2 linked regions of the Coturnix japonica genome follow. The protein of the gene in region 1 interacts with the protein of each later gene in a biochemical or structural test. Links are inferred from orthologs where the notes say so. Each region holds a gene or a part of one and is shown on either strand. Other genes may lie near its edges.

The links. The genes of interacting proteins can lie anywhere in the genome.
Region 2: the proteins of RNF14 (region 1) and ubiquitin-conjugating enzyme E2 E2 form a complex in vitro, tested with the Homo sapiens proteins (2 studies listed by BioGRID). The link is inferred for Coturnix japonica from reciprocal best matches to the Homo sapiens genes RNF14 and UBE2E2.

What each region holds. Positions count from the first base shown.
Region 1 is NC_029528.1:1,070,824-1,075,222, reverse strand, and holds the start of RNF14 (E3 ubiquitin-protein ligase RNF14), read left to right. Parts: upstream 1-1,470; 5' UTR 1,471-1,585; intron 1,586-2,338; exon of another isoform or gene 2,339-2,472; 5' UTR 2,473-2,481; coding exon 2,482-2,635; intron 2,636-3,119; coding exon 3,120-3,265; intron 3,266-3,587; coding exon 3,588-4,109; intron 4,110-4,399. UniProt on the Homo sapiens protein: E3 ubiquitin-protein ligase that plays a key role in the RNF14-RNF25 translation quality control pathway, a pathway that takes place when a ribosome has stalled during translation, and which promotes ubiquitination and degradation of translation factors on stalled ribosomes.
Region 2 is NC_029517.1:33,982,372-33,986,024, reverse strand, and holds part of ubiquitin-conjugating enzyme E2 E2, read right to left. Parts: intron 1,160-3,653; coding exon 1,027-1,159; intron 1-1,026.

The DNA of each region.
Region 1 (4,399 bases):
CTGAATACAGATTGAAGCAAGCAAATACCACAGCACTCTTGGTAATCTTCAGAGAGGTTTGGTCAGTGCCTGAAGTCAGAATGCTTAGGTAGCCAACTGCTCGGTCAGACCAGCAGTATTTCTTGCCATAGTGATTGTAGCTAGAGGCTTCTGATATTGTTACTGCACCTGCAGAAGCAGCCACGAGCTGTCTCCATGTTAAAGCATGTTCATGCTGAGTCAGTCTTGTTTTGAGAAGGGAGACTGCAAACGCTGTAGTCCAGTTTTCCATGCTGTTCACAGCAGTGCTCATCAGGAAATGCCACTAATGGTAGGATGGTGAGACAGGGATGGGGAGGGAGGCTGCTCCTCAGGGCCTGCAGCATCCTCTATCTGCTTACCTTAGTCTAGCCTGCATTTAAGCATTAACACACCTCTAGGTTTATCTTTACCTGCACCTGAACAGCTCATACTGCCACGAGGTTAGTGGTTAGTGTTCCCATTACCTTTATTCCTTAGTGGGCATCATCACATCACTGATAGCCCCAAATCAGGTTCATTTACCTGCTCTGTAGAATAGCAGCTGTACGCTCCTAACAGCTCAGCCATGGATGTGCTCTAACCATGAAGTAGACGCCCAGGTTAGTTACATGAGCGCTGCCTGCAGCTCGGGGGGTGCTCATAGAAGGAGGGCTGTGTTTCAGCTGCCCGCACTGAGCGCTGACTGATGCCTTCCCAACTCCTTGCAGGGCTGTGCTTGCTGCCATGAGGCCTTCATTTGGAATGCTTGGTTTTCTTCTTTTCCAGGAACAAAGCGTTTTCATTTTCTATGAGTTTTCTGCAGTAATTTGCTTCTAGTACTGATTGTCATTAAACTTGCAAACATGAATTTGTATGTGTTAAAGCTGACGTTGAAACACAGTTCAGCTGTTGGAAGAAATAAATGCACTGGATTCTACTGGATGACTCTGACTGTCTGAAGCCGTTGATTGTGAGGAGAAGTAATGATGGTGTCGGGGGGTGTGAGCGCGGTCTCCTTATTGCCGCTGTTCCAGGAGGCGGGGATGGGTTACGGGTGTGTTATTGGGGTGGGCTACGGGTGTGTTATTGGGGTGGGTTACGGTGTGTTATTGGGGTGGGTTACGGTGCGTTATTGGGGTGGGTTACGGTGCGTTATTGGGGTGGGTTACGGTGTGTTATTGGGGTGGGAGTGGAGCTGAGCTCCGGCTGCAGCTGTTGGTTCGGGCGGAGCTGATGGCGGGGCAGCACAGCTGCACCTGGCGCTGTTTTGCAGCTGTTGTCGTGGCTCCCGTCCATGCGGGGCAGCTCCTGCCGCCTTCCCCGGCCGCGTGCGCTCAGTGACCGCATGGTGCGGGGCGGTACCGGCCCCGCCGAGGGACCCCGCGTTCCTCCCGGCCGCAGGGGGCGCTGTGGGGACGCGGAGCGGGGCGGGCGGAGCCGGGCGCTCTGCGCTGTCAGCAGCGCGGCGGGGCCGGGCCGGGTCGGGGCCTCCGCCCTCAGCCGCTCCTTCCCGGTCCGTCCTTCCCGTCCGCCGCGGTGCCGGCAGCGCCACGTTCCGCGTCCGCCGGGCCGCCACGAGACTGAGGTAACGGGGGGAGCCGTGCCGGAAGAGCGGGCCGTGCCGTGCCGTACTGTGCTGTGCTGTGCTGTGCCGTGCTGTGCTGTAATGTGCCGAGCCGTACTGTGCCGTACTGTGCCGAGCCGTACTGTGCCGTGCCGTGCCGGCTTCGCCGGGACCCGGGTGCTGCGGGCGCCCCGTGCGGCCTCGGCTCCGCCTGGCGCCGTCACTGCGGCCTCGTATCCCGGCCGTGCCGTGCGGAGCGTGTCCGGGCGGCTTCTCTTCCCGGCTGCCTTCGGTTCCGTTCCTGCTCGGTGCGGGCGGTGCCGATCGGACCCGCCCGGGTGCGGCGTGTGTCTGTGCTGAGGGGACTTTGACCCTCCGCTCCGTGCCCGCTCGCTGACAGTGCGCTCCGTGTATTTGTGCGTGCCGCGCTCCGGGCTGGGGACGGATCCGCAGCTGTGCGGGGAATTGCGGCGCCTCCTGCCGGACGCAGCGCGGCTCGGAGCTTCCAGCTGAGACCTGCGGCGCTTCTCTCATCGCTTTATAGAGCGCTGCTCCAGCCGTTCTGTCACTAACTCGGTTCCGTTCTCTTCCGCTCCGTTCTCCCTTCCAGACGCCGTGCCATGTCCCGCTGCCGCTTTCCTTTATCTCTCTGCTGTTCCCGCAGCTGCTCTCGGCCGCTGGGCACCGTTTGCTTTTTGCCTCCTCCACGTTCTGTGGGTGTTCCCCATGGTGTAAATAAAGCTCCCAGCACTTCTCAACTCGGAGACAAAGCCTGACTCTGTCCTATGCTCCCACTGCTTACTTTGGGTCCTGACTCTTCCTGTGGAGGTGTAAAACAGACCCAGACGTGTAGTTTGGATGGGACGCGTTAACTCGGTTGATGCTGTAGAGTGGTGTTAATTCCACAGACCATTTAAATGTCTTCAGAGGACAGAGAAGCTCAGGAGGACGAGCTGTTGGCGCTGGCCAGCATCTACGATGAAGATGAGTTTAAGAGAGCGGAGTCGGCACAGGGAGGAGAGACCAGGATTTGTTTGGAACTGCCCCAGAACTTCAGAGTTGTTGTGAGCGGTGAGTTGTGATGGCTGCTCTTGTCTTTACGTTCACTTTGACCAGGTGATTTTCTGGGGCCTCCCCAGCTGCTCCCATGAGCTGTAGGGATATTTACCTGACGGAGCCGTGTGGGACCCCTCCTTGTGTCCATCGCTGGGGTTGGTGTCGGGGAGGGCACTCAGCCTTTTGGATGCAGCCTCTCCATAGAGCTTCAAAGTCAGAGCTCAGTCATGGTGTTTCTTTGGGGTAATCAAGTCAATATATTTATTATTCCCCTGGGGGTGTTTTCCTTGCACTTGGCTCCTGCAGGATCTGCTATTTCACAGCACTGCTGTGTATTGGTTTAACCCCATACAACCTCATGGCACTTTACTGCACCATTATTTGGTGTTGAATGAATCACTTTAAACTGAGAAGTCTATCAAACATACAGAGGGGTCGCGTGTGCCGTCCTTTGGTTCTCACCTCTTTGTGATGTCTCACCCTGTCTCCATTGGCTCAGGCATTTCTGCAGAGAGTCCGCAGAGCTTTGAATACACCGTTCACTTTCTGCCTCCACTCGTGCTGAATTTTGAGCTCCCACCAGACTACCCGTCATCCTCCCCGCCTGCCTTCACTCTCAGCAGCAAATGGCTCTCCCCAGCACAGGTTTGCAGATCAGTTCTAACATTATAGCAGAGCTTTTGTGGTCATGAGTGTATAATTAACACCATTAGCTGTGGTGGATGTCAGTATAGTAGATGCAGTTATGATGTACGTGGTGACGTCTCTTTTTCTTGGCTCTTTTGTTTCCTAGCTGTTCTTACTTGGTTACCCTTCTGACAGTTCAGTGTGTGCCTTACGAGGCGCTATTTCTATGTCTTTTATGTATTACCCATCAGTTCCACAATTTGAGGTGTAGGTTTGCACCATGGGAGCTGTCACGAGTCCCCAGGACTCACTGAAGTCTGCACTGGTTTCTCTTTCCCAGCTCAGCGCTCTTTGTGAGCATTTAGACAACTTATGGGAAGAAAACCGAGGCTGTGTGGTCCTGTTTGCCTGGATGCAGTTTCTGAAGGAAGAAACGTTGAATTACCTGAATATTTCATCCCCATACGAGCTCAAAATGCGCCAACAAGGGAGTACATGGGGCAGGACGCCTTCGGTGCCTCAGGATGCCAAGGACTGTGTTGGTGCAGTGGGCTGTGCTGCGGCTGAAGAAGGAATTGATAAGAGAGCTGTACAGGACGTGGAATCTTTGTCCAGCCTGATTCGGGAGATCCTGGACTTTGATCAGGCTCAGAGAAGGAAGTGCTTTAACAGTAAGATGTACATGTGCAATATTTGCTTCTGTGAGAAGCTGGGCAGTGAATGTATGTACTTCACCGAGTGCAGCCATGTGTACTGCAAAGCCTGCCTGAAGGACTACTTTGAAATTCAGATCAGGGATGGGCAGGTCCACTGCCTCAACTGTCCAGAACCCAACTGTTCTTCTGTTGCTACTCCTGGTCAGGTAAGGGCTGTGCTGAACCCAGTCTGGGTTATCATGGCGAATACACACAGGGAAATTCTTTCTCTGAGCCACACAGATTCCTCCAGGTTATAACTGGATTATCAGGTACATATTTTGCCTGCTGGCAAAATGGTGGCACTGAACTGATGTCCTGTTATATTTGGTGCTGCGTGTTTGTTCATCCTGTTATTTAACTGTCATCAAAATAGCATTTCTAGGTGCAGTTTTGTGGCATCACTGGGAGGATACAGAGTGAATTCATGCCAGCTGTACTTCATCTATGTACATTT
Region 2 (3,653 bases), on another chromosome or scaffold:
CAGGCCCATCAATTTATTTAATTCTATGAACAGCCTTGCTGGGTAAATTTTAATGTTTCTCCTTACGCTAGTGAATATGGGTGTTAATAATTGTAGTCAGTCTTCCAGATGAAGTCTTACAAGTGTCTTGTGTATGATGGCAGCAATTCCTTAGCTCTATAGGAAATGCCAGATGATGCATTTTAGGAGTGTATTTGCTTTCTTTTTTTCCCAGATGCATTAGTCTGGTGGTTTGCAATAACACTGTGATCAACCAGAAAAATTCCATTTGGACATCCTCTCTCAACAGTTATTACTATTGGTTATCAATGACATACTACTCTACTGCACTTCATCCCATTTCTGTTTCTCTGGCCTTCAAAACCACTAGATATTTCCTGCATGAAATTCTAAGTCTTCTCTGTCATGGTAATGATCTGCCAGCTTCATATTATTGAAAGAGTTTTACATTTTGTGGTTAGCATCATTACTGACAGCATTAGAAAACAAATCTGTAAGGAATTCTGTTAGTTCTTGACTTTCTATCCAATTTCTTGTCTTTGCTGACATATTTCTAAAGCCTTCCAGAAAGCTAACATAAAGCAATTAAATCTTTGCAAAGAGTAGTGTAGTCTGCATCTGGAGAAGTAATTTGTATGAGGTAGCACAAAAGGTGCACATTTTGTTGGGCTGCCACAGACCTGTGGTGAATTATATGGGTCAACTGGAAAGATTCTTCAGATACTTACAAAGGATGCAACTCAAATATAATTACCTTCATATTCGAAACAAATCCAAATCAAACAAATAACTGCTGGAAATTATACAACCATTTGCTAAATAAATCCATATCTATCCAACTGTACCAGAGACATGCAAGCAAATTTTAGGCAATCATTTAAATTCTTTCCATCAAAATACTCTGTTTAAATATTCATTATTGCCTTGGAATTTTTATATTTCATCCTACAAGAGTATGCCAACATAGATGTTAAAAATATCACAAGGAGAAGACTCCTATCAAACTTTTAATATCCTCCTACTAACCTTAGGTGGTTTAAAAGGATAGTCCGGTGAAAAGGTAATGTCAAGGAAGAAAACTCCACCTTCATATACTGACCCTGGAGGCCCCAGTATAGTTGACCTCCATTCATAAATGTTGTCTCCTTTGGGTCCAGCACTAAAATAGAAAACAAACAAAAAAATAACATAATAACCACATACAATTAAGAAAATACTGCATCAGTTACAGTCTACTAGTAGTAGTGCTGGATTTGCAGCAATGCTGTGGGTTGAAATTGAGTACTATAGTTGCTTAGTTAGTCCTGCATGACATATCTTACTGGTGTCCTGAGCTCTGTCAATGAAGTGATATACTCAGCCAGGAAGAGGTATTAAAATCACACTATAAATTATTCAAATAAGCACAGAAAAATTCTTGACGGTTTAATCTCAAATATTTTAGTGGGCAGATGTGAAGTACTTACTGTACTAGCATACAGAGACTTTGCTGAGATGCCTTGTCACTGTCTTGCCTCACAAGCCTTCCTATTTTCATCTACCTTCTCATCCACCTACCTCATCAGTAGCAGCATAATTACACACATTATTATACAGCACATACAGTACTTAAGGCAGTGTGGTACGAATGACCTTGCAGCTGCACTTTCTAAGTAAGTTACTATCCGAAGGACTTCTGTCACTAGTACAGAAAGCTGCTTTAGTTGGCAATTTTTACGCTATCTTAAAAAAATCATAAACAAGAAGCAGTTCAACTGTTGGATTCTGTTAATTCAAAGTTTTCACTTACTAACACAGCACTGAAACAATATTTAAAATCTGTGATGAATAGTTCTACACATGAAACAAGAAAAATCTCTTATCTACACAGTCAGTGCCTGGAAAAAGACAATTGAAAATTACTGAGTTTATTTGACATTACTATTCCAAATGCTTATATAGCCTTCCTTCATACAACATAATGTTTATCCACAGAAAGGTGTATTTTATCCAGAGAGGCCTTTTGAGGTATATGAAGACTTCTTTTTGGTTCACAGCCTGCTGATACAAGTCATTGAAAAAGGACATGAATTTTAATTAGGATCAGTTGAGATGGGAACTTTTGAATAACTGATTAATATTTTTCAAAGGAATGCAGTGTTCGTAGATTTTTCAAATCAGTGACATAGTATTGTCTTAAAGCATTTCTTGTGAAACCATTCTTGTTATATTTGCAATAAAGATTTCCACAGTATGCAGGGGTTAGTGAAATAACCCTGCGCATAGAACAGATGAAAGCTCTTGGCTATGCTCCATGCCTCACAATGTACCCAAGGCATACAATTATTATACGACATCATGTCATGTTCACTACTCAACTATTCATTTTGTTCGCTGAAAGTTAATAAAACCCTCTTTCACCTGAAATTCCTTGGGCTCCCTTCATTAAAACTTCTGACTGCATGATTCCCTTCATACAATGCAGTGACTTAGTGTGGCATAGTTCATTAGTCATGGTACCTACATCAATTTTCTCTAATAGCTGTTAATGCTTCTTGGCTTTCTAAACTATCTGCTTTCTTAACAAAAATGGGTTACAGAGAATATAACATTATGGAACATTAATTAGCTATCAGCCATAGTAACACAACTAACAATTGTTTTAAAGATAAAATCTGGCTTTTAAAATGTCACAGTAGCAAAGTGTTGACTGTTTGCCATCCATCCATCCATCCACCCACCCACCCACCCATCCATATTTCACAGTGTCTGCAATACATCAAGTTGCTAGCTGCCAAACAAATTTAATTTACCCAGTTCTCAGTTTGCATTAACCTTTGAATAATAAAGCACAGCTGAGACTGCTCTAAGAAACAAACCAGAGAATGAATAATTAAAAACACCTCCACTGCCTTTAGAAAGACCAATGCCGAGTCAACAGGGAAGGTTTAATTGTGACTGAACTAGGCATTAAAGGGCTAATTGAACTCTTTATGAGCCCAACAAATGTGGGACTACATCAGAGCTACGGTATACAAGGTTCACAGAAAGTAAAGCCTTAAAAAAAGATAATCAGGCAATTAGTTCAAATAGAAAGAAGTAAGAAGCAGGAGCAGCCTAAATCTTACATGAAAAAAGTCTATTATACGTGAAGGAAATCCTTTCTTATTTCCTGCATAAAAAATGTTCTAATACTTGGAGAAGAAATGACTCAGTTGATGCCAGCAGGTTAAAATGGAAGTGATATAAATGCCAATCCCTGAGAAACAGTTGAAAAAGCAAGTATCAAAAGCAAGCCCTGTCTTTATTAGAGCTTACGTAGCAAGCAGAGGATGGCTGGGCTTTTCTTGGGTTTGAGCAAGGCTCACTTTTTTATTCAAAAATTCCTCTGATAGTGGCAGTTTCATAATGTATATTATTTTTATTTGTTTTGTCTATTTATTTAATTGCATTAACATTTGAAATGAGCATTCATTAATTAAAATAGTTGGAAAATGCTCCATCTGTCAGTTGAACTGTTTCGGCACGTCCAGCTACAAACCCAGCCTGATCACATTCTGAGGATGCTGATTAACATTAATTGAAGGTTTTCTTTGCAAATGAGAGATGAAGCTTTATTAAGCGTTATTATTAATTTGAAGAATAGCTGGAATTGTATGGAGTGTGGGTAGATT